Lonchura striata: one gene and its partners. The protein of the gene in region 2 binds, or shares a complex with, the protein of the main gene of each other region. Links are inferred from orthologs where the notes say so. Each region holds a gene or a part of one and is shown on either strand. Other genes may lie near its edges. The genes, in order: TIMM21, COA1, TMEM186 and CMC1.

Region 1 (6,834 bases), about 47 Mb from region 2:
AAAAAAAAACAGTTTAAGGAAAACTCCTCTGTATTCCAGTCCTTTTTATTATTTTCAGTCCTGTATTCAATGTCTAAAATAAATCCTATTGATATCTTCCATTTGTACTGTTCTTTGAGATGAAGACATGTAAACTGACATTTTGTATAAAATGAAAAAATGGAAAAAAAAAAAACCACAAAATATTTGTTCATGTCTCCTCCAAGAGAATATATTTCAAAGTTTAAGATGCAAATGCATTCTCCTTCATATTATCTAAAAAACACTACGGAATTAGAAATTCAGTAACTTTTTTTTCAGATCTATAAAGTCAGAGTAGATCACTTTATTCTTAAACCTACTTTAAATTTGGTTAGAAGAGGAGGTTAAGTTTTACTGTGCAAGTACTGGGAAGGTGTTTTAATTCTACAAATTTGTTCCAAAGCAGTTTCATTTCTATTCGAGCAACTTCATTTCTAGGTTATCCTCAAAGACATCTGTGGCAATCTTGTGTGAAGGGTTCTTTGTCTGAAGTATTTTCAAAATCTAGTTTCACATTGATTTTTGGTTATTTCTAGCTATGATGACTGTGTGATCCCATGACTGTTCTCCACCTGTTTTCCAGTTAGCCAAATGAAGAATTTAGATTCCTGGGTATCAGTGCAGTGCCTCACAGAATGACAGAACAATAGTGAAGTGCCACAATAGAGTAAGTGTGCTGAGAAAAGGCATCAGATAAGATCAACAGAGCTTAGTGGGACCAATTGCCTCTCTGACCCACAGAATTCAAGTGCTACATTTAACAGGCACTCAAAAAAGTCCCAAAAACTTTCTGTATGGTGACACAAGCACATGCTCTGAAGGGCAGACTGTATTTCCATCAGTTTTTGTGCTGTGGCATGCTCATTTGCCTTCTAGCAGGCTAGTTCACACAATCTCAATGTTTGCACTGTTTTGGACTAATGGAGGCTCTGCTCTGGAGCTGACACACCCCATGCCAACTAAAAGCACTGGCAGAACTGCTAAAGCACCAAGTGGGTCTTCACATAGCTTGTGAGATTCCTTACGCAAAGTTTTGACTTAAGAGAGACAGTAACTACTGAGAGACACAAACTTATGTCTAAAGCTCAAAAACCAACCTCAGGATGAGATCTGCACTTCTCCAAGGCATCTCCATAGATCTTATTTGGACTAGAAGAAGAGAATAGCTCTTTAAAAATCACATAGAACAAACCACCTGTAACAGAAACAACATCAGATGGAATGAAAACTTATCAAACCAAATGGAATTAATGAAAAGTGTCTTCTGATAAAAAATGTAATTTTAAAAAATAACCTGTAACACCAATTCCAACAAGCACCACAATAAAATAGGTAAAGTCTCTTCCAGCTTCTTTCACTGAAATGAAACAGAAAACAACATGTAAGTTACAACCTTGGGTAATAACACTTCTATGACTTTCTTACATAAATGCTATTCTGTTAGTCTGTAGCTCAAACAACATTTTAGCAGAAGAAAAAGTTCCAGTAAGTTTCCATAATGCTTCATTGCTGTAAAAGATACCATGGAACATCTCTTATATTTTACAGGGCATGTTTGCATTTCTGTGTCAAGACTTATTATTTCTGTTTGCCAGATGTTTTCAAGATCCAAAGTAGCAATTACTGCTGCTTTTTGGGTGTGTGAGAGCTAGACTTTTTAGGAACTAATGAGGTATTTAGCACTGCAGTATTCACACTACTACCTAAACCTATAATCACTGCAATCCTTGTGTGAAGAAAAGAAGTAAAAAAAAAAAAGTGAAAGCTTTTAAGCTACACACAATGAAAATAACTGATTTTATGAATTAGCAATCAATACAACAATAAAAACAATTAGACCAAAATAATTTTTAAAAAACTTAATTAACTGCTGTTTGATTAGTTTTTATCTTTCAATTTTGATCTAAAGTACAAGTATCAGTATGTGCTGCAAAATAAGTCATACAAGATTCTCTGTTTCAATATATTTGAATACTTGGAAAGAGACCACCACTATCTTTTAGTGTGCATTTCAGTGGAGTACAAGTTATGGAGGAAATGTTAATAACTATCTCTACTGCAGCCTTCTAATCAGTTGAAGTTAGTTATGAAGTTTTTCATAAGTAATTTCAAAGTTATGAAGTTTTTCACAAGTCATTTCAAAGTACTGAAAGTGAGTGAGACCAACTAAAGTGAAGGCAATCCATAAAGAAACTACCATCACATGTACAACTTTGACAATTTTGTTGGAGATGAACTTGATCAACAGCCGTACAGACAGGCTACATGTGATAGGTATTTCTTCTGAAAGGGAAAATGAGAGGCTATTACATCTTGTGCCTGATAATTCTTAGATGAACAGGCTGTTTAGAAGTCACATAATTCTGACTGTGCAATGCATACACAGAAATATAACATCTGCTCCAAACAATACGATGTGAAAAGAAACCCGCTTGGTGTGCTGATATTTTTTTTTCCTAGATACTTGGTATTTGGAACTCCAAAACGTTAGCTGCAGAAGGAACAGCCTCCAGCCCTTCTGAGCAGCACACAGCATCCTCCTCCTTACCTTTCTGAGCCGCCGACACCAGCGTTTCCTCGTTCAGCGCCCTTTGCACGGACACATCTTTGCTCTCCCGGCCAGGTTTTGCAGCTTTCAGCCCTCCCGCCTGCGTCCCGAAGCTCCGAGCTCTGAGCAGCAGCGGGGGCCAGTGCCGCCACCGCGGGCAGCAGCGGGGCGCGGCGGCGGCGCCCAGGAGCGCCCACCCGCGAGTGGCGAGCAGCCAGCGGCCCGGGCAGCCCCGCCCGAGGGAGGCGGGCAGCGCCCGGGGCAGCACGCCGGGCATGGCTCCGCCGGCCCCGCAGCGGCTCGCCCGGGGCAGGTGAGCCGAACGGAGCTGGTGCCTCTCGCCACCGCACCAGGGACGCGCCCGGGCAGCCTCCGCGCCGAGCGGCCGCTGCTCCAGCTCAGGAGCCCACCTGCACCTTTACGGCTGCCCCGGCGGAAACGTTTGGGACGGCGGAGCAGCGAGCGGCGGCGGCGGGTCCTGGGAGCGGTAGTTCGAGCGGGCTCCCTCTCCCGCCCGGCGCCGGAGCGGCTCCCAGCGCGGTCACTACAGCGCCCGCAATGCCCAGCGCCGCCGCCGCCCTCCGCGGGCCGGGACCCCGCTCGTTCCAGGGCAGGGCGGGCGGCGCTGCCGCCGCGCCTGCGCTGCCGGTCGCCCTTTGGAAGCTGTGTTCTCATACGTGTTTTTCTTGGTCTTGCACACATTAAAGCGATGCAGTTGACGTTTCCACGGATGGAGACGGCTAGCGGGATCTGGGCAGGCTAAATCGATGGGCCGAGATCGATGGCACGAGGTTCAACAAGGCCAAGTGTGGGGTTCTGCTCACAACCGCAGGCAGCGCTGGGGACAGAGTGGCTGGAAAGGTGCTGGAAAAGGAGCTGGGGGGGTGGTGACAGCTGCTGAACGTGAGCCCGTGTGTGCCCAGGCGGCCAAAGCCAAAGGCTTCCTGGCCTCTATCGAAACCAGTGTTGTGAGCAGGATTAGGGAGGCGACTGTCCCGCTGTACTCGGCGCTGCTGAGGCCACGCCTTGAGTACTGTGTTCAGTAATGAAGCCCTCCGTTTATACTGAGCTGCTGGAGCGAGTGCAGAGAAAGGCAACGGAGCTGGTGAAGGGTCCGGAGCACAAGTTTTAGGAGGACCGGCTGAGGGAGCTGGGGATGTTTAGCTTGGAGAAAAGGAGGCTCAAGGGGACAAGGCGCTGCTGGGGCAGCGCCGCCGTTAACGCTCCCGCCGTCCCCGCCCCGCGCCCCGCCCCGCCTCCTCGGGCTGCCGCCGCCCCGCCGCCGCGCGCACAGCGGGACGCGGCGGCTCCGGCTCCTCCCGCCCCTCCCCGCCGGCGGTGCGAGGCCGCCGCTGTCCCGCCCATGGCGACGGGCCGTGGCAGGTAATGGTGGGCGCGACGAGCGGGCTCTGCCGGCCCGGGGCTGCCTGCTTGGCATTCAGCCAAGGGGAGGGTTGGTTCCTTCTCCTTCTCTTCTCCTTCTCCTTCTCCTTCTCCTTCTCCTTCTCCTTCTCCTTCTCCTTCTCCTTCTCCCTCTCCCTCTCCCTCTCCCTCTTTCTCTTCCCTCTCCCTCTTCCCTCTCCCCCCCGGCACCTTGCAGTGGGAAAACGCTGGTGTTGCCAGCTGCACGGAGGCCTGGGTTTGGCACTTTTTGTTCTGCCTGGAAAGGGGAGCTTAAACTTCGGTATGTCCTTCAGCTTGAAGGAGGTGCTATAATAAATATCCAGGAAGTTAGTTGAATAGCTGCTTTATGTGTATTCAGGGTGGTTAGGCCTTTGTAATAGTTGTGGAAGGTGTGGTTGTCTTATTTCTTACAGTACGTGTTCAGCTTTCAGAATCTTAAAGCATCAGCCTGAGAGGCAAAGTTGAGAAAGCATATTTTTCTGCTAACCCGTTTCTTCAGCACAGTTTCATTCCCCTTGCTGTATTACCCCCCCTTTTTTTTTAAACCTGCAAATGGATTGGGGTAATACCCACCTATTAAAAAGACTGAAATTGTTAGCTGAGAGAACAAAACCCAACCAACCCATGTCAAAACGTTATTTTTGTTTATCCCCAGATGTGCTTTAACAGGTGGAGGAGACAGGTTTTATCATTGCTTAAAACTTTTTGTTCATTATTTGAAATTTACTTGAAAGACAATTGTTTGCTGACCATCAAAAAACCAAGGCACACTGCAAGTATTATAGGGTGTGAAAGTGAAAATACTGGTACAAAACAGCCCCACAGGTTGAAAGGTAATGAAAAAGCAACTGAATTTGTTGTGCCTCTTAAGTAAGATCATCTCAATGGTTCTAGAAGTCTCTAAAGAGGGGGTGTAACAGCTGTCATTGATTTTTATCTTAGGCTTATCTGCCCAAGCTGTGTCAATGCAATGTAAAAGCATTCTGTGAATGCTAATTTAAAATCTTAGCACACACAGTACTTGAAAAGTAATTTATGGATTGGGATTGCTGTTTGTTTCTTCACACCTTGAGAATATTTTTGTTTCGGAAAATGCAAAAGTTCTGCCTTTTTTTTTTTATTGAAGCTTACAAAAACAATAGCTGTTACATTAAAGTTTTCAAAGCATGTGTGGGCAAAATGTTCCTCTCCTCATATATTTCTCCCTGTAGTGAAGAAGAGGAGGGAGGGTGATTTAAATGAGCAAGAAGGACTGAATACAGGCTATGCAGGTTATGCTTGTCCAAGGTAGTGTGTTTTAAAATCCAGAATCCAGCTTCTTATCTGAATTGGTCCTGTGGCAGGAGTCTGTGAAGTTGTGTCCCTATAGAGTATGCTCAAACTCTGCTTTGTTCAGGAGAGAATAGCCCGGGATGTGCTGCCCTGGAACATACAGGGCACAGCTTGTGTCTCTAAATCCCCTTAATGGCAGTTTGTTAGTGCCTCAACATCTAAGAGTTCTTGGTAATGATACATGAGTAAAACCCTTGTTTGAAGTCCACGTTGTATTTATTATAAGACTACTCTTTTGTAGTTGTTAACTTAGTTGGTCTATCAGTGATTGACACCTAAGCTGAAATCTGCTTGTCTTTTTGTTAAGTTTATAGAAATTCTCAGTAAAATGTCTTGTGTCTTGTTTGGGTTTTTTTTTTTTTTTTTTTTTTTTTTACATAGCACCATTGACAGTGTAGACCAGAGTTGTTAATTTCTTTTGATTTTATTTTTCTCTGAGCATAAATCAATCTGAAATCAAAACCAGAAGGCATTAAATGTATATGGTACCCATATAGTTTAAAATTAGCTATTTCCCCCCCCCGCCCCGATATGGATTGGTTGCCTAGAAACCCAGAGCTGGTTTGGCCAGGTGTTGGAAATGTGCTGGCAATTTAAAGTCAGTAATGCAGTGAATGGGGAGCTCTGCCTGCTTGGTGGCATCAGTGGGTATGAAGTGTAAGGATTTGGTTTAAGATTGAAACTCTGTCTCCATATTTCTCTGTGGATTAATGATAGTATTTGTTTGCAATTGCAGCTTACAAAGTCCTTCCTATCAGAAAACTTGGAAAAATGTGTGAGTGGTTGGATTGTAAGAATTTGTGTTAGAAATATGCAAAATTCCTTTCCTTTCTATCTAAGTTGTGATGTGGAAATGTTGCCAAATAGGTTCTTTCACTGTGGTATGCAAGAGGCCAATCCAGGCACCGGGGTTAAGGTATTTGATAGCTTTACAGTACTGCACAGAAGGGGGTGTTGAGTGGCAAATTCACAAAGCCAGCACACCAACTAATAAAACATTTTACTATTTTATACATTTTAGCTAAGGAAGGAATTAGTTTTTATTGGATACAAGTAAGACAATTCTCTTATTAATTACTTTTCTATCTTCTGTTGGATCATGATTCTCATGCTAATTACTTTGCATTTTCAGTCTTTGTCTTTTTTGAGGCAGTGAGTTTATTGGGTCAGTGATTGCAATCTCATACTTCTGGAAGCTGGTGCTGATTTCAGCACAATTGCTGAGTTGGCTTTAATAGTTTCTTCCTTGTCTTGGGAGTTGTTCCAGGTATCCTTGTGGCCTGTAAATTCTGCATTCTTTATGTCCACTAGCAGTGGCCATCCTTCTTCCCAAGCTTTGTTAACCTCCCACTAGGTCTGAAATCAGTGAAGCATGTCAAGCCCTAAACCTTAACAAAGTAATTCTACCAACAAGTAATTTGCCTGACTAACATCTGGACATCCCTTAGAGCTTGTTAGCTGCCTTCAGTTTCATGGATTAAATCTCCTTTGTTGCTGTTTATGCAAGTAAACAGCATAGTATAGTATAA
Region 2 (7,189 bases):
ACTGCTGTGCAGTTGTTAAAAAAACCACCACTGCACCACAGCAGATGAAAGGATTCTGTCACTTATGACATTCTAATACCAGGAAGGACCCTCATAACATGCTAAAAGACAAACAATAAAATACCTGGTGATGCTTTTTCAAATTGCTCGCAACAGGCTCACAGCCTGAACTATGCTGAACTGATAACTTGAAATTTTACTAACATGTTCCAATATTCTTGTGTATCAGGTTGCTTTTCAGAAGTATACTCTCAAGAACTTTCTATTCCTTACAATATGCTGAGCAGAAAAAAGTAAAACTGCATTTTCAAAGGGTTAGCTCCCACACTAGCCTGATGGTCATGTAACTGCTCCTCCCAGAATCTGAGACATAACATAGTCCTTTTCTGTATCCTCCTCAGTTACGCAAAATCACAGCTCAAAACTGTAGACTTAGTCACTAACATCAGCACAGAGAAATAGAAAAATCCAGCCAGTGCCTTTCTTTCCCCCTCTACCCTCCCACTTGCTTGTATATGCAAGATTTTCAAGGTAGGTGTTCACACACTTCACTTGTTGACTTGTGTTTTAGTTGGACAAGCAGGGAGATCTACACATAAAAGTTGTCCAAAGCCTAGAGCCTCCTCCTAATTCCCAGAACCACAAGCTAGGCTGCTACCAAACCATCCTCAGAGCTGCTCTGAGGGCTGTGCTGCAGCCTGGGTAAGGCAGCACAGGCACATGGAGCAAAAGCTGCTGTGCAACAGCAATGCTCACGCAGGGGGAGCTGGGCTGCTTAACAGACAAGATGCAGTCAGGAGTGCTGTCTAAAGATACAGAAGAAAGGCCAAGTGCCCTAACAGCCACACTGCTTAGGGAGGGTGTGAATGGGCCCATCTCTTTGTGTGAGCTCCAACTCTCAAGGTGTCTTAAGTGTAGTGAAAACAACCCCCAGCATCAGCTCTTCTTCCTGCTTGATCTTATATTGTGGTCACAGCAGCAAAGGTAAGGATGTTATTTTGCTCCTCTGGCATTGAGTCAAAACCCAGAAGTTTGTATTAGAAAAGTGGCCTGGAAAATACTGTGTTAACAGACACTCAAAGCCTCTGACTTCTGGGGAATAACCAGCTTTGAAGTAAAATACATTCAGCAATAATCCATGCACACTTCATTAATTTCAGAAATGCAACAGCGAAGCACTACTTAGAAAAAGCTGTAAGATACTAATGAAGGCTTTGGGGTTTATTTTTATTTTTAATCCCAAAAGCTCCTTATCTCCCTTCTCCATGTTTTTTCATTCAATTTACAGTAGTCTAAGTTAAAGCTCATCTAATAAAAAAATGACACATTAAGTTCGGCTAACCTCTTCATCCCCCTCTTGATAAGAATACTTTCTTCCTTGGGGAATAAATGCAACAACTTTACAATTGGTACATTGCTTGTTTAAGATAACTTTCCTTTGCACTTTGTGTTTAATGGAATTTGGCTGATCTGGGCTATTTCAGCAGTTAAATAATTGAGACAGCAAGGGCAGCAATTTTTGCCAAGTCTTGAATAGCACAAGGATCTCAAGGAAGAAAGGCAGCATTTTGTTATCTTTCAACATGCAGTCATCTTTCTCTACCACACCCCCAGTCAAGTTTGAGAACCCTTGACACGGGCCACTGCATGATATGAAACACCGGTTTACTGTTCAAATTTGAGTCAAAGCTTAGACTAAAAACAAAGAGTAGCTGCAGTTTAACACTGGATTTAAGTACAGGTCTGAGGAGTTGCTGCTGGAATGGAGGTGTTCATGCCACTTATCCCGTCCTGCTGCTGGGCTGTGCAGCTGCAGTGCTAGCCATGTCTAGAAAGCATTGATAACACTGGAACAACCAACTTTCAAAAAGCCAGCTGATCCCTAAGCCGGATGCAAGAGGTACAGCACGATGTACAGCTGTGCGGTGGAACAGGGCCACCTTGCTGCCGCAGCCCTCTATTACTCCAGCCTTTGAATCTCTACTAGGAATTTTTGAAATTTGTTTCAACACTTCAATTCATAAAAAAATGTCTCTAAAAGCAACCCAGACCACTCTTCGAGTTACATGCTCTCTTCTTGCACTTAGAGTTCATGTGAATGAGCAGAAAGAAACCAACTAGGCTGGAAAACGGGAGCAACCAGCGTCCCCGATAAGAAGGGACAGGGGAAATGATATTTGCTTCAGTGATCAGAGCAGACTTGAACAGGGAAGTTCCAATCTTTATAGAGAAACATAATAATCTCTTTCCTTTGCAGTGTTTGAACATTAGACCTGTTCAAGACAACCCAACTGCTTCACCAGCTGTACCTGAATAACAAAGTAAATCTGATTCCTCACTACGTGGATGAGTCACTGCAAACAACTTGCTTTATGTGGAAATCGCCCTACCCTCGCCACATTTCTCCGGGATGTGCTCCAGTCAGCGAGTTCCCCACAATACAGGGCACCGCGTGCCTGTGCCTGTTTAAGCAACAAGAGATCTTTCCTGCCGCAGCTCTGATTGCTCTCTGCGTATCAGGTTTTCTTTGTAGCTTCCTAGACAAATTTGCCTCGCACTCCTCTCCCGACGGCGGCTGAGAAGTATCTTAAGTACACGCACCACTAACAGGGCCGAGGGGAAGCGTGCCGAGGCTCTCGGGGCAGTGAGCGAGCCCCGCCCGCCTCACGGCACTGCCGCCCCCACCGCGGCCGCGCCGCTCCGCGCCCCGGTCCGGCCCCGCCGCTCCCGCAGCCGCCGCGGAGCTGCCGTGGCCGGGACTCCCCCGGTACCAACCCCCTCCCGCGCCTCTTTCCGCCCCCCGGGGCCCTTCTGCGCCGGCCCGAGCCCGCCGGGAGGGGCGGCGAGGCTCGCTCGGGTGCGGCGGTGCGGACGGGAGCGGCGGCCGGGACGCCCTGGCCGAGCCCCGGCCTCGGCCGCCCGCCCTCACTCACGGCAGCGCGGTCGCGTCGGGCTCAGGCGGGCGCCGTGGGGGCCGCCATGGCTGCGGCGCCGGCGGGGAGCGGCAGGGGGCGATGGCGGGAGGCGCTGCGAATGGCGGAGAGGAGGGGACGGTGGCAGGGCAGCGCCTGACTCGGAAAGATCCCGACCACACCTGAGCTTGCTGCCCAGATCTACTCTCTTCTGTGGTGATTTATTATTCCTTTATTTATTCTTTTTTCAGGACAAGGAACACCATAAAACCACTCTTGTGCAGTCAAAATTGAAAAAACCCAACAGTGTCTGTCCAGCAACCCCTAAAGAAAGTTCTGAATGTAATCTGGCCATCTCATTTCACACAGTGATATTAGCATTTAATTTAACCACTGCTGTCTTTATCACATTGTTCTGTGTAAGCTGTTGTCCCTGTTGCAGTTTATTTAAACAAGCTGTCCAACAATGTCCCAAAGCTCAGCACTTCGGCTCTGGTGTTTGTCAAGTGTGTGTGTGTTAGCAGTGCTGGATTACATGAACCTAAGCCTTGGCCCACGGCTTTGATTCATCTGAAATTAAATGATGAGTGCATCAATGACATCAGAGTGTGTTCTGCTGCTGTTCCTTAGTGCATCCTACCTGCTTTGATATTTATTGTATGCGTTCCCTGCCTGAGGTGAGTAAGGCATTATGTTCGGGGATATTGCAAAGCCAGTTTGTTCTGTAACCTAAGCAGTTTCCAGCTACTTATTTACACCTGTTGCATTACTGCGGTGATTTAGTGGAATACAGTCTGCTATTTCAGATTGTAAATTAAAACTGTTTCTTCCCACGGCACGCTTCTAGCAGTTTCCAGTCAACTTCTACAATCAGGATTTGGTTACATTATTGCATTGCTTTGTTGTTCCTAACAAAAAAATTAAAAAGTGAGAGGTTTCTATACAAGAGATGAATTGATTAATTCAGATGTTTAATTGATTCAATTAATTAATTCAAAAAATTGAAAAATGGGAAGGTTCTATATTGTAGCAGAATTGATTAATATAACTCCTTGCTAGGACTTGTAATACTAAAGAAATTGTGAAAGGCGAGAGTAGGCAGAAACAGTATGGAAAGACAATCAGCAGAACAAAAGGACATGCAGATATGACCAAAAGAGAGACAATGAGATAGAGAGAACAAAAAAAGGAGTGAAAGGCCCAGCCTCTTACACTCCTAAGAAGCCCTGTTAAGAGATTGTTTTCTATGCAAAGTTACAGCGTTTTTTAATTCTTTCTCTCATCCTACCTTTTCCTACATATCTAATTACTCTCTGAAAAAAAATCTATTTCATACATGTCAGACCTGAAGAAAGATTTTAGGCCAGAAACTTGTCCTCCGTTCTCAGCTGTGCCTGTGTTGGCCTACCTACCCCTGCTGTCCCTTTTTCCCGGTAATTTTGCAAGAACCAAAGCTGTGCAATACCCGTCCAACACTGGTGAAGCTTTATCGGTTCTGAAAGGTGCTTATTATTCATAGAGATCCCCTCTGCTATTTCCACATGGAAGGAGAGACATAAGAGAGACATAAGAGACGGCCAGCATAAGACACCAGTATTACTATGGCCATGCAGGGAGGGCTATTGGTTGTTGCTTCTTGCTGGGCTGGCACTTTCCTCTGCACACTTGTCAGCACCCTAGGGGCCCAAGGCAGGCTGGCCACGCTTCTCACAGCCACCAAAGACTCTGGCCCCAGAGCAGTTTGCCCCTCAGGGTGGCCCGGGGCTGGCTGCCTGTCCCCGGCCAGCTGCGCCTGGGCCGCTGCCTCAGCCGTGAGGGATGCAGAGCCGCGAGAGCCCGTGGCTCTCTGCTGGGCCGCACAGCTGAGCTCCCAGCTCCAGCTGGCAGGGCCTCAGCGCCCAGCCTGTGCCCTCCCGCCCCGACGGCCATGCCAGGCCCTGCTTGCTGCCCTGATGGTGGCACTCCCGGCCCCCAGCGCTCTCCAAGGGCTTCTCCTGGGGCACCTTCCTGCAGCCTCTCAGAGCCTGCACAAAACCCAGCAGAGGCCTGCGCTAGGGCTGCTTACAAGGGCCTGGAGGGACAGCACCAGGGGCAGCGGCTTCCCACTGACAGAGGGCAGGGTTAGGCTGGAGATGTGCAAGAAAGTGTGCCTCTGAGGCTGGTGACAACCTGGGCCACGCTGCCCATGGAAGCTGAGGCTGCCCAGTCCCTGGCAGTGTTCCAGGTCAGGTTGCATGGGGCTTGCTGCAATGTGGCCTGGTGCTGCAAGGTGTCCCTGCCCTTGGCAGCAGGCTTGCAACAAGACAATGTCTAGGGGCCCTTCCAAGCGGAGCCATGCTGTGATTCTGGGATCAGAGGGGGGTCAGGGGCACGTGGCCTTAATTGCTGATTAGAACCAATTCAGCACTGTTAGTTTGGTTGAGTTCGCAGAGACTGTTCACAAGCCCAGATTCCCATCGGGTGACTTTTACCAATACTATAGGTGTGGCTGAGAGCAAGAAAGTCTCGCATGCTCCAGATTCTGCAAAACTGCCTTTTATTGAAACAAGAGCACAGCAGATCCTTGCTTGCTCGTCATGCATGCGCTAACTATGGAGCATTACTACGCATCCAAACAGATCTATTAAATACTCAATTTATATTATTCCACTGTCATATTCGTCATGATGATTTTTTCATTCTATAACATTCCACATATTTGATAAACATTTAATTCTAAACATATTGTATAAAATTACTGTTTTGTAGTAAATACAATATGTGTGTGTATAATACATATTGTATACATATAACTGTACTATCAAAATCTTGCCTCCGAAAAATTCAGTAACTACAGAGTATGAATATGTGTCACAAGAGCCACAAATGACTCTGACATAATAGTGACATCATATACTTGCTATTTCTTTTTATAAAATAATATGATAATTTTAAAGATATTGTATTAAATTACTGTTTTGTAGTAAATACAATATGAGTATGTATAATACATATTTTATAAATATATCTGCATCATCAAAATCTCGCCTCTGATAAATGCAGTAACCACAGAGGATTAATATGTGTCACAACAGCCACAAATAACTGTGGCATAATAGTGACATCCTATACTTGCTATTTCTTTTTTTAAGATAACATGATCATTTCTGAATTATCGCTATAATATGTATCTATTAAAACACATCTGTTAGTAAAAATATTTGTATCAATATATACACACTATAGGTATATAGACAGATATCTATCTGTCTATGCATCCCATTCATTCCTGTCTTTGTCATGGAGCTACAAGCTGGTTCTCTGCCACCAGCTGCAAGCCCCGCGAGCACACGCATCCAAAGGAGGCCAGCAAGGCTGGTGAAGGCTTGGGAGCACAAGCGCTGTGAGGAACAGAGCTGGAGTTGTTTAGCCTGGAGAAATGGAGACTCAGAGACAACCTTGTCACTCCCTCCAACTACGGGAAAGGTGGTTGTAGTCAGGTGGGGGTTGGTGTCTCTCTCCAGGCAGCAAGTGACAGAACAAGAGGACACAGTCTTTAGCTGTGCCAAGGGAAATTTAGGTTGGACGTTAGGAAAAATATTCTTACTGGAAGAGTGGTAAAGTACTGGAATCGTTTGCCTGGGGGAACTGGTGGAGTCACCATGCCTGGATGTGTTTAAAAAAAGGTTGGATATGGCACGCAGGGTCATGGTAATAGCTAAGGTAGTGTTAGGCCATGGGTTGGACTCGATGGTCTTAAATGTCCCTTCCAACCTAGTGATTCTGTGATTCTCTAATGCTGTGATTCTACGTGCCCCGCTAGCAGCGGCCAGAGGCCGGCACTCTTGCCAGGCGACGGCACAGATCAAGGCCTAGGGGTGGGCAGCCAGATCCTGTGGCAGGCCGTGGAACAGGTTGGATGGCCTAGCCCTTTGTGTATCTGGGGGCAAGCGGAACTCCTCCGGAAGCCTCTGGCTGCCCACTGTAAAAGGCTCCAGGGGTTTGCCTTCCAGAGATAAGTGCAGCTGCTCCAGAGCATCCGACAGCTGCAGCAGGAAATGTCTCCTGTGCCTCTGCGACGCCGGTACGGTGCTCAGCAGGCGCGTGACATTGGTCTTGATGGAAGGGATGGAAAGGGCCTTGCGCGCAAGAACACGGGCAAGGAGCTGCAGGCATTTAAGGTGTGAGTCGTCCTGGGGAGCCGGCCTGGCCATGCGCCTCAAGAACTTTGTCTCTGCCACGCTGTAGGTCTCGGGCCACGTTGTGCTTGGGGTGTGGGCCCCTCGATGCTGGCTGCT
Region 3 (7,059 bases), on a different chromosome or scaffold from region 2:
AATCAAAGGCAGGAGTGTGGTAATATATTAGAAGAGACGGTGAAAAAGCAAAATGCATAAAAAATTAATTCCCCCTTATTGTATTTTTTTTTTCCTTAAGCTTGCACTTGCTTTTGGATTCTTTCTTTTCTCCCACACAATGCAGGTATAGCTGAAGAACCAAGGGCAACTGGAACAGCACTGAGGGAGTGGTTCTGATCAAAACTGATTCACAGAAACCACTCTGACTAATCCAATGCATCTAATATCCTCCAAAATGAGCAGAATCAGTCACACAACTGACATTAAAGGACAATGAACTGATGACAAGACATGAAGTGCTCTTTGTTGATGGATTTCAATTAAAATGTCCCAATAAAAACCTGAGAGGAAAAAGAGGCTCAGTCTTGCAACCACCCCCAGAGAGACCTGTCAGACAAATGAGATGGGATGTCACAGCCATAAGAGAATATGACTTAAATGAAATTTAAATTGATTGATATTTTAAATGACATTCTTTTAAAGTATTACCTATTGAAAATGTGAGGCCTTTGCCTGCAAATTCTCTTTGTAGATCAGCTACAAATTTCTCTCTTATATGCTCCTTCTGTTAAGGAAAAAAGAAAACAAAACCAAACAACAGTTACATGCTGTAACTGTGTTGATTTACCAATGAAAAGATAACCCAAAACCACCTCTAAAAAAGAATGGTTTTATTGATTTGAATGGACCCAGGCTGGTTACACTATAGAGGAGAAAGTATGGTTTTACCTAGGACAGGGTTTTCTAGAAACCCCATGAAGCAGGATGTTCAGTGCCTGGATATTGGATTAAAAACATGAGCCAAACCCACCCTTCTGCAAGTAATCCCTGCTATTCCAACAAAAAACCTCACACTGTCTATTTCCTGAGGTCTGAATGAGGAAATTAGTTACACCATATGGAAAGGATTTAAATTACAAAAAAAACTTGCACAAATTATAAAAGTTTTTAAAACTGCCTTCTCCAGGAGAGCTGTAACTCACTTTATCAAGTTCATAGAACTCAAGTCGTTCTTCCTGGCTGCAGCTTCTTCCAATGGGGGACACATTCAACATCCCATTTCGGAACTCGATGAAAGTGCCTCTGCAAGGGAATTGATAACAAGACAGAAAATAGATGAGAAAATTTGCTCCAAACACTACATAGCACAATAAATTTCCATTTAATTCTAAAGGCAGTGAGAATCACCTGTCTCACTACTGGTACCTCTGGCACCAGTTAGTCTTTTGAACTTTGAATATGGCAACCTCCTCATCATCCTTACTGGCTTTTAGAAGTCCCATTTGGTTTAACAAGTGTGACTGGAGCATCCCATCAAGCTCAGAGCCTGACAGGCCAGGCTGTCAGTGTGGGTGAAGCTGCAGAATTCACAGCAATGTGGGCAGTGTTCCACCCAGCACATTTCAGTGTCTGCAGCAGCTGCACCTCACACATCACACAGAGCTGGTCTGGCTGCACTTCTCATCTCTGGAAAACACTATGCTGCTGAATTCCAAACATGGCAAGGGAACACTCCTACTTCAAACTGAATCTCCTTCCCTCTAACACAAAAGTGCCAAATTAGTATTTCAAGCCCTGTACTCCAGCTGGGAGCTTGTCTTTGTATGCTTGGACAGAGCTCTGTTTCACACACACAGTGCTGTTTCCCAAGCAGAAATTCCTCTTTTTTTTCTTTTGCTGAGCACCCTGAGCTGAGCTTTATATGCCCTATGGAGAACAGGGTCACGCTGAGATGTCTGTGTGCACATACCTCTTTTTTGGCAGCTTAATCTTTGCAATGTAACTCAGGCAGTAGTTGATGACTTCTTGAAGGATGTCCTCGCCCAGGTGGCCCTGAATGCTCTAACAAAACAAACACCATTCAAACAAGGGTCCAGAATTTGAGATTCTAAAAGCAAGTCACAAGGAAAACACAGACATTGGGTAATCAGGCATGGTTAATACCACAGAAGAACAAACATGCCTTCAAACAGTGACATCAGCTGATGCTCACATGGTACTAACTAAAGGCTCTCATTTTGCTTTTTGTTCACTTTATAACACCAAACTGTCCTTTAATATGATCCTACTTGAACCTGCTTCAGAAGAAAACTGTGCCACGGGCAGCAGCCCTGAACAAAAAGCTGCATTTAATGTCTGTTACAGCCAAGAATGAAGAAAAGGAGCTTGTTCCTGCAGTAAACTGGAACCACTGGTCAAGGCAGCAAATTTAGCCAGGATCTCTTTTAAATGTTTACTCTCCATTACTTATGTTAAACATTACATGCCAAATGAATGATCCATTAACAGGACTAACATATGAAAGCAACAGCAATTTTAGTCTTTGAAAGGGTGATTACAGAGGACTACACTGTACAAATAAATCAAAATCTTGTTTAGAAAATTTCTTTTTCTCACTATTGGAAATTTCACACTTACCTGCTTGCTCAGGAATTTCCCATCTTTGTATGCTACAAGGCCATTTTCTGAGAACACATAGTCATATTTTTCAATCACTGCAAACAAGCAAAAAGACAGTAACTCATCATTTCCCCTCAATGCTTAATGCAGAATTGTCTTAAATGCTAAATTGGTTAAAATACAGCAAACATTAACTCCTAAAGCATGAAAAGTTTCAGCAGCATAGCATCAAGCACAAGATTAATGCTAGTCCCATTCCTCACTATGATCAGCACACACCTCAGATCACGTGAAGTCATTTGTTTGACTTACCTTTGGTTTTACTTAGAGGCATATGACTCTTTACATTAAGTGTAAAGGAATGCCCAAACACGTGGCACATGGCCTGGCTAGAGAGCAAGTCAGATACTGCCCTTTAGGTTTGTTTCCTCAGTGTCACTAATCTTCAGCAAATGTCTGGGAGTTGCGAGTCTCAGCACTACACAAGATGATGATGATATGGTTGACTGGAGACCACTTGGGAGGCAAACGAACTCGGCTGTCTGGGCACTACAGGAGTTATCAGTGGCATCAATTGAGTAAAGAGCATTAAGAATAAAGGACTAAGCTAAGGCAAGAGTGCATCGCTGCATCAGAACCCCGCACTGAACAAAAGCAGGTCCTGAGGGAAGTGCTGACAGCGGACAGCCACGCGTGTATGTCACACACAGGACTCCACTGTACACACAGTGTGAAAATGCCCTCCCAAGGCTGCCAGCGAGGCAGGATTTCACCATCAGCAACAATCCCTTAATTTGATCTACAGACAGCGGTGCAAGCAGGCTGCGATTCCCAAGGGCCGGTTCGCAGCTCCCCACAGCCTGGGTGCACCACAGCAGCACCAGGAGCCAGCTAAGAGCGAGGGAAGAGGGGATGAGGAGCTTCAACCTCCAGCTGCCCTTCACCGCGGCCCGGAGCGCGGCCCTCACCGTCCTCGCCCAGCTGCTCGCGGATCTTGGCCAGGTCCGAGCCGCCCACCACTCCCACCTTCGCCTTCTGCCGCAGCCGCTGCAGGAACGCCGCCATCTCCGCCGAGATTTTCTGCGGTCCAAAACAGAGCGGTCAGCCGTGCCGGAGCCCAGCGCCTCCATCCCGCCACGCCGGCCCACACGCGCTGTGTCCGCGGCGTTCCGAGAGCCAAGCGCGGACACGCCGGGCCCCGCGGAGTGCCGCGGAGTGCCGCGGAGTGCCGCGGAGTGCCGCGGAGTGCCGCGGAGTGCCGCCCGCCCCCCGGGCTCGCAGCGCGGGCCGCACTCGCCTGCCGCGGCGGTGTCAGGGTGCCGTCCACGTCGAACAGGCAGAGCGCGGCGGGCGGCGGCGCCATGGCTGCGCGGGGCCGCGCCTCCCGGCGGGGCCGCGCCTCCCGGCGGGGCCGCGCCTCCCGGCGGGGCCGCGCCTCCCGGCGGGGCCGCGCCTCCCGGCGGGGCCGCGCCTCCCGGCGGGGCCGCGCCTCCCGGCGGGGCCGCGCCTCCCGGCGGGGCCGCGCCTCCCGCCGGGGCCGCGCCTCCCGCCGGGGCCGCGCCTCCCGCCGGGGCCGCGCCTCCCGCCGGGGCCGCGCCTCCCGGCGGGGCCGCGCCTCCCGGCGGGCCGCGCGCGGGGCCATGGCGGCGGTGAGGGCCCGGGCTGCCGGGCGGGCTGGTCCTCCTTCTTCTCCTTCCTTCTCCTCCTTCCCCCTTCTCCTCCTTCCCCCTTCTCCTCCTTCCCCCCTTCCCCCCTTCCCCGTCTCCTTGCCTTTCGCCTTCTCCGTCCCGCTCGGTGACGGCTCCTCGCCCGCGTGCTGCGGCGCGGCGGGGGCAGCGCGGAGCTTCCCCTCCTGCCTTTGCTCTGCAGTCCTGCGCCTTCCCAGCGTCTGCTCCCGCTCTCCCGCACCGTGCTTCATTTTTCTTTCCTGTTCTCCTAAATCTGCGGTTTAAGGGGTTATTTAGGGAGTGGGCGGTTTCAGCAGCTTTCCCTGGGCTGTTGCTCAGACGGCGAGAGGCAGGGGCTGTGCCAGGCTCGCTCGCTGATAGCAGCTGTGTTAGCGAGGATTTCCCTCGGTCTGCAGGGAGGGATGCGGGCACAAAACCAGTTTCCTGTCAGAGCTCTGGTTTAAGGTCACAGTGACCCGGGGGTTTGCTTTACTGGCTTTAGGCGCCCGAGTGACCAGCTCTGAGCTCTCAATTGGGCTTTAAAGAGCACTCAAACGATGACCTGTGGGCATCTTACCTTACAGGCTTGGCTCTGCACTAGGACTAAAGCCTGCACGGCAGCAGCTTTTGGGAGATCTCTACAGAAGGAGCTCTGGACAAGGTCGTGGAGAAGGGAAGCTGCTCGCCGGCCCTGGATTTTTGGTTCGTTGGAGTGTTTGCAGTCACAAACCCAACGAGTTGATGGTGTCAGTAATTATCTCAGGAGACCGCGAGAGCCGCCTGTGTGTCTGTCCCACTCAGCCCCTGCTGCAGTGCTCCAGCAGAAGGCTGTGGATGGGCGGACAGAAGAGTTCAAACTGGTCTACAGGTTCCCAGGGATAAAATACTGCAGGGTCCTGTCAAGACTGAAGCTGCTGCAGACTGCCACCTCCATGGTCATGCTGCCTCCCATCTGCTACCTCTACCTGCAGGGCCAGGTGTCTCAGAATATCCTCCTCTATACAACTGGCATCGCTGTCTTTGCTGGGGCAATGTTGTATGGTATGAGCTACTTTTTCAGAAGAATTATTGGATTCATCTACTTAAGTGAAAGTGGACAAACTGTCAGAGTGGCCCACTTGACATTTTGGGGAAGACGTAATGATATTTACTGTCCCATAGAGACAGTAGTGACTTTGGATGAAGTTGGAGATAGCAAGGACGAGCTACTTCACCAGTTCAAACGGTATAACAGTACAGATACTTTGTATTTTACAATTAAGTATGGCCAGATTGTAGACAGACAGAAATTTACTCAAATATTTGGAGAATTTGTGTGACACAGCACCTCATTTCCACTGACTGTCCATGTTCATTGTGCTTATTGTTTCATGAGGTTTAAGTAGTTTACCAACCTACACATCCCTGTCCTTTTCCTGTGCAAAGCCTGCTGTAAGTACACCCAGTGTAGAAAGTCACAGTGGTAAGGCACAGTCCACTGGATTAAAGGTCTTGCAGCTTGTATATGGTGTGAGGAGTGTCTGTTCCATGTAGGATTCAGTAATGTCACAGCATTCCAAGCCTGGACTGTCCAAATTACTGGAGCTGACCCTGGCTGTTTCATTCTATTGGCCTCTTTGGTGGTTATGAAGCATGAAAAATCTCTTGAAACGAAATGCAGGAGCTGCCAGAGCATCCTCACTTCAAACTCAGTGTTTCTTTTAGCTAATTTCAGGTTGGCTGGGAAGCCTTTGTAAATTAAAGCTGGTCTGGTACATCCATAGGATGGGTACAGCTGAATGTCAGAGAGGGACATGCTCAGGTGTTAATGCCATTGAGAGAACTGGGAAGGTGTGTGGGCTGTCCTGGCCTCAGGAGGGTCCTCCAGGATGGGAGTGGAACTGGGCAAAACAAGGGTGTGGGCTACAAGAGACAGTGGCAGCTCAGCTGGTAAGTTAAAGGCAGGGACAATATTTCAGGAGCCTCTTACAGAAATTGCCATTCTTCATTGGAATGGGAAAAGCAGCACCTGTCTCCATGAAGGACTGTGATTCCATGGTACTGGTATGACTTCTCCTTTTCCAAAACCTCAGTAGAAATGAGGAATTTAAACCCAAGAAAGAACCAAACATATCACCTATAACATGTAACACATTTTTTTGAATTGTCAGAAGCAAGATAACTCCTTACACCCCTCTTCTAGCTTAATTTGAAACTGGCAAATAAACTGACTCTCACCAATAGTCTGGAGTGTTCTTTCCTTATTTTTTCCTCATATGGAGTGAAACCTCTGTTTCTTGGCAGATCAGCAAAGGATCAGTTAAGTAAAATTGCCATTTAAGTGCACAGGGTAACCCTGAATTACTATTTCTAACTTTAACTTTTCCTAGTGGGGTTCTGTGAGTTTAAATTTTGGCTGACACTGTCTAGCACAGCAGTATCAGAAGAAATCCAAATGTTCCTCGGTGTAAACACCATGGCAGCAAAATACAGTGGGCTGTACAGGTATACTGCAGTTTTTGGAGGTTTATCTTCATCAGAATGTATTTAATATATGCACTAATGGTTCAGTTTAGTAGTGGGTGTAAAAGAAAAAGCCCTGGAGAAGATCAATTATAAATATTTTATTTAAGAATATTGATTACACATGATTGATGTCATTTGTTATGAATCTGTGTACAGTTACTAGTTACACCATGAAGTGTACTTAAGTATTTGTTTAAACATTTATTTGGCACTGTCTACAGTATGCTGTAAACAATATTAACTTTATATGCTTCAGCTGTAGTGCTTTCTATGTATTCTCTAACGATTCATCAATATGTTGTACACAATTATACAGTTACTGAGTGTCAGTAAAAATTATAAAAACACCTAGAGTAGTCATAATAAAAGTGAAGATGTGGTAAGACTTCAAATTACTGGACCTTTGCTTCTGTAAAAGTACAAGACTTGCTAGAGACATTCACTAAAACTACTGCACTGATATGTT
Region 4 (7,341 bases), about 12 Mb from region 2:
GATGGCAATTGCAAATAAGGCCCTCAACAATTTTGCAGTGACTTCAGTAAGAGTACTTTCCCTCCAGGAAAGAAAGAAAAGTTTATTTGATTCTAAATATTCTTATTTAAAGCTCCCCCACATCTCGCACCTATGAATGAATTTCACATGGGTAATCACAACCCTTTACTGGAAGTTGTATTTCATGAAACAAGATCAAAAGTGTCAAGAGCGAACAAACATGTCTAAGAAGTGCTACTTGAAGATAAGCCTTTGAACTCATTTGACCAATGCTATTGTCAAAAAAAAAAATCACACCTGTGTGCAGACAGATAGGCTCTCTTTATCTGGTAAAAACAAGGTGTAGAGACTCATGGGATAGATAATTAATCTCTATTGCTATCTATAGTTTCTTTGTTAACACTGTCTTGGTTGAAGTGTGAAAATATGTTCACACTTTGGAAAATGGGCGATCAGCTAATCAAATGACAATATGAATCTTAGAAACACAGAAATTACTGTAACCCAACACTACTACTTCTGACTATATAGGGTTTTAAAAGTTGTATAAAACAAACATTCGCTCAAGCATCCTTCAAGACCATAGGGGAAGTTATCACATCTTCCGCACTGTAACAATCAGTGCAGAAATTGTAGCCACCATCATCAGTTTATTTCCACTACTACACCCAGTATTTTACTCTACGGGAATTAATTGCAGGGAGTATTTTCTTTGTATAGACAAATTCCAAGAACTCTGACAGAGAGATGGCATAAGCAGCACTGAATAACCAGGGGCACTAAGCAGTAGCCACTGTTCTGTTAGGGCCCTGTTAAGTAGCAGTTGTGTGTATTAAGTAGTACTGGTCTTACACCAGTGCCCCAGGAGATGTCCCAGTCAAGCAAGTTTACCAGATAAGTGTCTCAGTTAAACGAAGCATACGGTATGAACTTTTATCAAAGTGCTGCATGGCAAATACCCCACACATTTCAGCACAACTTCACAGGGCTGCCCAGGTTGTGCAAGGTTCATACTTAAAAAGATCTGACTAAACACAAATTGCATACTCCAGGTGTCATTTCAAAACTCTGTCCTGGGACAAGATATAAGTTAGACCTCATGTTTAAGGGAGACCCACTTTGCACTTTTTTTTCCTTTTTTTTTTTTTTTTTTTTTTTTTTTTTTTTTTTTTTTTTAATTAAACCATCCCTTTATACCCTTGGATGCTCCTACAGGATGGAGTTCATTTTCACAGGCACTTCCACATGAATGAATTAAGTAAATTTATCTTTTCTCTATGTAAGTCGATGATCTTACTAACATCAAGACTGCATATAAAACCATGAAGAACATGTATTGACAAAGTTGTGCTTTTTCATCTGTGGTATGAAAATTCTTGATATGGCACCTAACACTTCACGTCTCTCACACAGTAACTTTCTCTTTTCTGGTGGCAAAAACTGTTCTGCTTCTGTTCATTTAAGCTGCTGTAAGAACATAATTTTACTGTGTCATTAAGTCAGCCAATGTGCCACTTCCTGGGATCACTGCACTGGCTCCCAAGTCAGACACAAGATATTTATCCTAATTTAAAGCTCTTTGTGGACAGTTGCTACCTTACTGTCTTATGCCATTTCTGCTCTGCATGTCAGCTTCATTTTCTCATCTGTCAAGATAAGACTTTCTCTGATACTTTCTCATTTCTGATAATTTCTACTAGCCCCAAATAGCATGAGACTGTTATCAGACTCACAGCTGCATATGCCCTCCCTCAAAAACTATCTCTGACCCTCAAATCTCCAGAACAAAGTTGTTCTATCAACTTTTTTTCCTTTGTTCTTATTTCCTCAAGGTGTGTCTTAGTCTCTTTTGCCCTTCTCAGCTTCCATCGTTCTTGTCTGTCAGACTTGGAAATAAAACTCCCAGAAAGTCCTGTTTCCAGAGCTGCTACTGGAAGAAGCAGCAGCAGAGGACAACTTCTCCAAGCTACAAAGCTATTGGACATTTATTTCTGCAGGTACTGTTTCCATGAAAGAAGCAGCAAAGTTCTGGCCTGAAACTGATCAAATTAACACAACACACGGAGCTGACATGTAAGTTCAAAGATCTTCATCAGTAAAAGAAATTTTCAGAGTTCTAATTTTGCAGGGCATATATAAAACATCAGTAGCCAAGAGTTTAAGAGCAGCAAAAATTACTAACTTAAATAATGCCTTTTTTTAAAGGACTCAACTTACTTTGAAAGCATACATTCCCCTTTTTTGGCTCTCATGCTGAAAGCTCCTCTGCATCGTGTTTTCTTGTATTTTCTCTTTGTAGATAATATAAGAACTCTTTGCGGATTGGCTGGTATCTTTTTTTTTTTAACACTCTCTTATATCATTGCAGAAGTGGTGTAGACAAAAACCCTTAATAAAACAAATATAAATAAATTGACATGTTGCATTTCCATTGCTTTGTTCAATTAAAATTCTCAAAACAGCTTATAAACATTACCTGAAATGGTATAGTTTAAAGTTACAGAAAACAATTGTAATATTCATATTTTACTCTAAGGAATGAGATCAAACTTCTTGTTAAAAAAAGAGAAGCATAAAGGCACTAAATGGTAAAAAGCAGAAATGCTCTAGATCAGTAAGGCCAAAAGCATTCATGTAGAAGATTTTGCCTACATCACGCTCTACTAATTTTACTAATTTCTGTGAACGTATCAACAAGAACTTGGGTCTCAGTGTGGCCTCAAGTTGAAACAACACATTTTCTAATAAAGAGACAAAATTTTCAAATGGGGAAAATAATGTCAATCTGGGGAAAAACAGCCCTTGAAACTTTGATGGAAAATAATTTTAATAATAAATAACATGGCATTATTTACATTCGTCCTACTGAATCTTTTAGACTGCTTATTATCTTTCAGAGGCAGACAATCTGGAAGTCTGGGGAAGGCTCCTAGGTTTCTCACTTCCCTGAGAATGCAATGTTTAAAACACACCTTTCCACTGAATAGAAAGTAACAATGTCAGGTAACAGAGGAAATGCTACATTTGGAAGAATTTTTTCAGCCTCGTTTAAGAGGCTACTGCATAAAATGACTGATTTTTTATATCACTTGTCAGTCTAAAATGTTAAAGATAGGAAAAGAGGGTAGGCTATCTGAAAATTATGGCTTGTATTTGTTAAAACAAGACCCAAGTTTTAGATATGTCTCCTTACTTCTCGTTTCTCTCAATTTCTCAGGAATCATGTTCTTGGGTTTTTAAGTGCATGACAATTTCTGACAATTTATTACTTTTTAAATTAATTTTTTTGCTCTGTGTTTTGTGTCCCAAAAAGTGGTTATTCTTGTTTCATGCAAGTAATAAGTGAAGGCTGGTCAACCAAATATATTGCCTCCCAACTAAAGAGTTGCAGGAGGGACACTAGATTTCCTAGTTCCTCTGTCAACCGCACCGCTGTAACAGGAATGTGGTCCCAGCGATGCTGAGGCGTGAAAAGGGACCTCTTGCCCGCTGACTCGAAATCCCTTTTTATGGTCAGAAACCAACTCATCGATAAAAACAGCCACTGAAATTCTCATTTGCCACTTCAAGTCCTTGCTGTGGAAGCCTCGATCACCCCAAGGGCTGGAGGATGTGCCACCAGTCCCTGTCAGAGGCTGCACACAGACACATACAGAGGCTTCCTCGAGGTTCCCCGGGAAGCTGGCGCTCACCCCAGGCCTGTTGGGAGCCCAGATCTGGGCTCCTCAGTACAAGACATGGAACTGCTGTGGCGGATCCAGCTGAGGGCAATGACTGGTGGACTGGAGCATCTCTCTTATAAGGAAAGGCTGAAGGAGCTCGGCCTGCTCCATCCCGAGAAGAAACATCTGATAAGGAACTTTATCAATATAAATATCTAAAGTGGGAGTGCCAAGAGGATGGAGCCAGGCTCTGCTCCGTGGTACCAAAGACTAAGACTAGAGACAACAAGCAGAATCCGATGCACAGGGAATTCCACCTGAACATGACAAAGAATTTCTTTACTGTGCGGGTGGACCACGTACTGGAACGGCTTACCCAGAGAGGGCGTGGAGCGCCCCTCACTAGAGATACTCCAGAACAATCTGGACGCAATCCTCTAGGATGACCCTGTTTGCGCAGGTAGGTGGACCAGATGACCCAGCGCAACCCCTTTTCAATCTGACCCATTCTGTGATTTTGCCATCCCTCGGTGACTCACACCGCACGAACCCAGCCGCGGCGCCTCAGAGCCGCCCCGCCGCCCACAAACGCCCACACGCGCGGCCCCGCGCTCCCGCCCCCGGTTCCGCCCGGCGCGGGGCGGAGCGCGGGAGCGGCCGGGCCGTGCCGCGCCTGCGCCGCAGGGCCGGGGCCGCGCGCAGCCGCCGCCGCGCGGGGCCGCAGATGGAGCCTGCCCCCGGCGCCGCAGGTAGGGGCGGCCGACGGCGGGCGGGAAAGAGGGAGGGAAGAAGGGAGGACGGCGGCGCGGCGGAGAGTCCCCACAGAGATACTCACTTCACCTCCGCCCTCCTCTCCCCCGCCGCCGCTCGCCTCGCCGAGGCTTCCTGTGGGAAACCCCCGTCGCTTTCCGCCGGCCCCTCACACCCGCCGGAGAGGGCGGTAGCCTGGGCTGAGGCGCACAGCCTGTGGGTGCTGGGAAGGGCCACCCTGGGGGGCTCCTTCCCGGCCTCCGCGAGGATCCGGGTGGCCTGGGACGTTCCTGCTGCCCTCGGCGCGCTCCCGGCGCCACCTCCCTGTTCCCTCCTTGCCTCTCTGCCGCCGCCGTGACCTCCAGCGCCGGGACGCGGGGCGGAGGCGGCTCCGGGCGTCCCGGCGCCGCGGGTGCCTGCGGTAGCCTCGCTGGCTGCGTAACAAACGTAAAGGCAAAGCACCAAGGCTGTGATGTCCTCGGCTTCGTGCTACCGGGGTCTTGTCCGAATGGTTGTAGACACGTGTTTACAGGAGTGAATGTAAACCCATGGCCTTTATACCCATGTAGTGTTTATTCACTATGCCCAGAGTTCCCGAGTCAGGAGTCTCCTGCTTGGTGTCTTAAAAGACTATTCCCTCCAGCTAACGCGAGGTGTTGAGTCTCCCGCAGGTGGTGGTAACCTGCAATGGTCGTGGCTGTGCACCTCCGTCCCTGCTGCCTGTGGCTGCTTGTCCAAAAGCCGAAGGATGCTGGACAAGGCCAGGCTCTGAGTTTCTGATGCAAACCTGTTTTGGATTTGGGTCTCCAGGCCTTGCAAACAAGGCATTCATATAGTCAAGTTCTGGGATTATTGATAGTATCCTCTAAACATTGATCTGTTATTCAGTTAAGAAAACGTTATAAAACTTACCGTGGTATTTCAAGTGGCAGATGATCATCTACAGCGTAATTTCACCTCCTGGTTGTCGTTTGGAAAAAGCCTAGTTATTACATTAGTTAATTCACAGATTCACAGAATAGGCTGAGTTGTAAGGGACCCACAAGCATCATCGAGTTTGACTCTTAAGTAAATGGTCCAAAATGGGATGAAACCCACAACTTGGTGTTATTAGCAGCATGCTGTAACCAACTGAGCTAATCCCAGCAATTCAACCTGTTGTGATTTCAGTGCAGAACAAAAGCCATGGCACCGAACACTGAAGTCATCAGCATTCTGCTTCCATATTTATGCATGTAATGACATTATCTGTCCCTCCCAAACCATACTGTGATTTTACCTTAGCTGTGGTAGGACTGCTAAGGGTGTACTTTTGGTACCTGCTGTGTGGCACCAATACTGAGATTCATCTCCTGAGCAGTGACATTGCTTACTGACACCTCTCTAAATCTGCTATCTTGTTATCCACTATCTTTTGCTTTCCTCCCCGCACTCCCCATCAGTTTCTGGCTTATACAGCTCTGTTGAAAACCTCAGAATGTACAAAACATGAAGATGTCTAAGTGAGGTAGTAGAGAAACTGAAGCAATAGCTGCAAGAGGTGTGAGCTGCCCTGTTTGTATTAGGAAGGTGTTAACACAAATACCCTGATGTGGTAGGTTTTAATGTTTTAAGCATTGTTAACTGCTTCTTGGCTCATATATGAGAAAAAAAGCAGAAGTATCACAGTTCTGTAAATTGTTACCATGACTGATACTTCATTTTATGGTCACAAAAGACACAAGTATTCTCATGGCTTTGAAAGGCAGTAGGGAGTGAATATCAAGGAGTCCTCTGAAACTCAGATTGTAGAACCTGTAAATTATGTTGTGATTTGTATGGGAGGAGTTTTTTTGATAGCCATAGTTTGGGAAGAAACTGTGGTTGTGTCATTAGGTGATTATATCCAATAAATAAATCGGTAGTAAACATGTTCACAAGATTTTATGTTCATAAAATTGCAGATTATCCTGAGTTGAAATATATCCACAAGGATCCTCAGGTCCAGTTCCTGGCCCTGACTTCCCCAATAATCACGCTATGTGCCTGAGTGTGTTGTCCAAATGCTTCTTGAACTCTGTCAGGCTTGGGTCCTGAGAACTTCCTTGGAGACCCTGTTCCAGTGCCCAGCCACCATCTGGGTGAAAAACCTTTTCCTAATATCTAATTTAGAAAACGTCCCCTAACTCAGCTTAAAGCTTCTGCTTTTCTCCTTGTGGGAAAGCTGTAGACTGCAGTGAGATCTCCTTTCAGTCTCCAGGCTGAACAAACAAGTAACCTCAGCTGCTCCTTGAGTGGCTTCAGGCCCTTCCTCTCCTCTAGACCCCTCACCACTTTGTAGCTCTCCTTTTGATGCTCTCCTAAAGCTTTATATCCTTGTATTGTGATGCCCAAAACACACAGGACTTGAGGTGGGGCAGCCCTAGTGCAGAGCAGAGCAGGACAATCCCTTCCCCTGCCTGGCTGGTGATGCTGTCCCTGCTGCCCCCCAGGACAGGGCTGGCCCTCCTGGCTGCCAGGGCACTGCTGGCTCTCATTCAGCTTTCTGTCAACCAGGACACCCAGGTCCCTTTCTGCAGTGCTGCTCTCCAGATGCTTTTCCCCCACTCTGCCTGTACATCCAGAATTGCTCCATCCCAGGTGTTAAACTGTGTTAAACTTCACATGGTTGGTGATTGTTCAGCCCTTAATTTGTCTAGGTCTTCCTGGAGGGTCTCTCTGCCTTTGAGTGAGTCAACAGCTTCTCCCAGTTTAGGAAAATGTTACACTATTTATTTTATCCTTCTCCAAAATCAATGTGCTGCAGCCCAGCATCAAATTTGAAGCACTTTCAAAGCTATGTACAGTGCTGCTTTTGGGAGCAGAGGCCATGGGTTATGAGAAAACTCATTTTATTTTTAATATGCACTTGATTATAGCTGTCATTTTCAGGTGGTGATGTTTGGATCCA

What was found.
Region 1: COA1 (region 2) and TIMM21 share a complex: the UniProt entries of both Homo sapiens proteins name them as parts of the MITRAC (mitochondrial translation regulation assembly intermediate of cytochrome c oxidase complex) complex. The link is inferred for Lonchura striata from reciprocal best matches to the Homo sapiens genes COA1 and TIMM21.
Region 3: COA1 (region 2) and TMEM186 share a complex: the UniProt entries of both Homo sapiens proteins name them as parts of the mitochondrial complex. The link is inferred for Lonchura striata from reciprocal best matches to the Homo sapiens genes COA1 and TMEM186.
Region 4: COA1 (region 2) and CMC1 share a complex: the UniProt entries of both Homo sapiens proteins name them as parts of the MITRAC (mitochondrial translation regulation assembly intermediate of cytochrome c oxidase complex) complex. The link is inferred for Lonchura striata from reciprocal best matches to the Homo sapiens genes COA1 and CMC1.

What each region holds. Positions count from the first base shown.
Region 1 is NC_134603.1:58,092,732-58,099,565, reverse strand, and holds the start of TIMM21 (mitochondrial import inner membrane translocase subunit Tim21), read right to left. Parts: upstream 3,009-6,834; 5' UTR 2,847-3,008; coding exon 2,570-2,846; intron 1,379-2,569; coding exon 1,316-1,378; intron 1,217-1,315; coding exon 1,119-1,216; intron 1-1,118. Other genes in the region: FBXO15 (F-box only protein 15), read left to right, coding at 3,933-3,952. UniProt on the Homo sapiens protein: Participates in the translocation of transit peptide-containing proteins across the mitochondrial inner membrane.
Region 2 is NC_134603.1:105,060,041-105,067,229, forward strand, and holds the start of COA1 (cytochrome c oxidase assembly factor 1 homolog), read right to left. Parts: upstream 3,014-7,189; 5' UTR 2,934-3,013; intron 1-2,933. Other genes in the region: inositol 1,4,5-trisphosphate receptor-interacting protein-like 1, read right to left, coding at 6,764-7,189. UniProt on the Homo sapiens protein: Component of the MITRAC (mitochondrial translation regulation assembly intermediate of cytochrome c oxidase complex) complex, that regulates cytochrome c oxidase assembly.
Region 3 is NC_134618.1:6,718,258-6,725,316, reverse strand, and holds TMEM186 (transmembrane protein 186), read left to right. Parts: upstream 1-4,039; 5' UTR 4,040-4,061; coding exon 4,062-4,070; intron 4,071-4,191; coding exon of another isoform or gene 4,192-4,339; exon of another isoform or gene 4,340-4,520; intron 4,521-4,672; coding exon 4,673-5,407; 3' UTR 5,408-6,978; downstream 6,979-7,059. Other genes in the region: PMM2 (phosphomannomutase 2), read right to left, coding at 511-586, 1,005-1,104, 1,772-1,863, 2,440-2,516, 3,448-3,501, 4,192-4,339. UniProt on the Homo sapiens protein: As part of the MCIA complex, required for efficient assembly of the mitochondrial complex I.
Region 4 is NC_134603.1:117,169,715-117,177,055, reverse strand, and holds the start of CMC1 (COX assembly mitochondrial protein homolog), read left to right. Parts: upstream 1-4,338; 5' UTR 4,339-4,386; coding exon 4,387-4,411; intron 4,412-4,497; exon of another isoform or gene 4,498-4,768; intron 4,769-7,341. UniProt on the Homo sapiens protein: Component of the MITRAC (mitochondrial translation regulation assembly intermediate of cytochrome c oxidase complex) complex, that regulates cytochrome c oxidase assembly.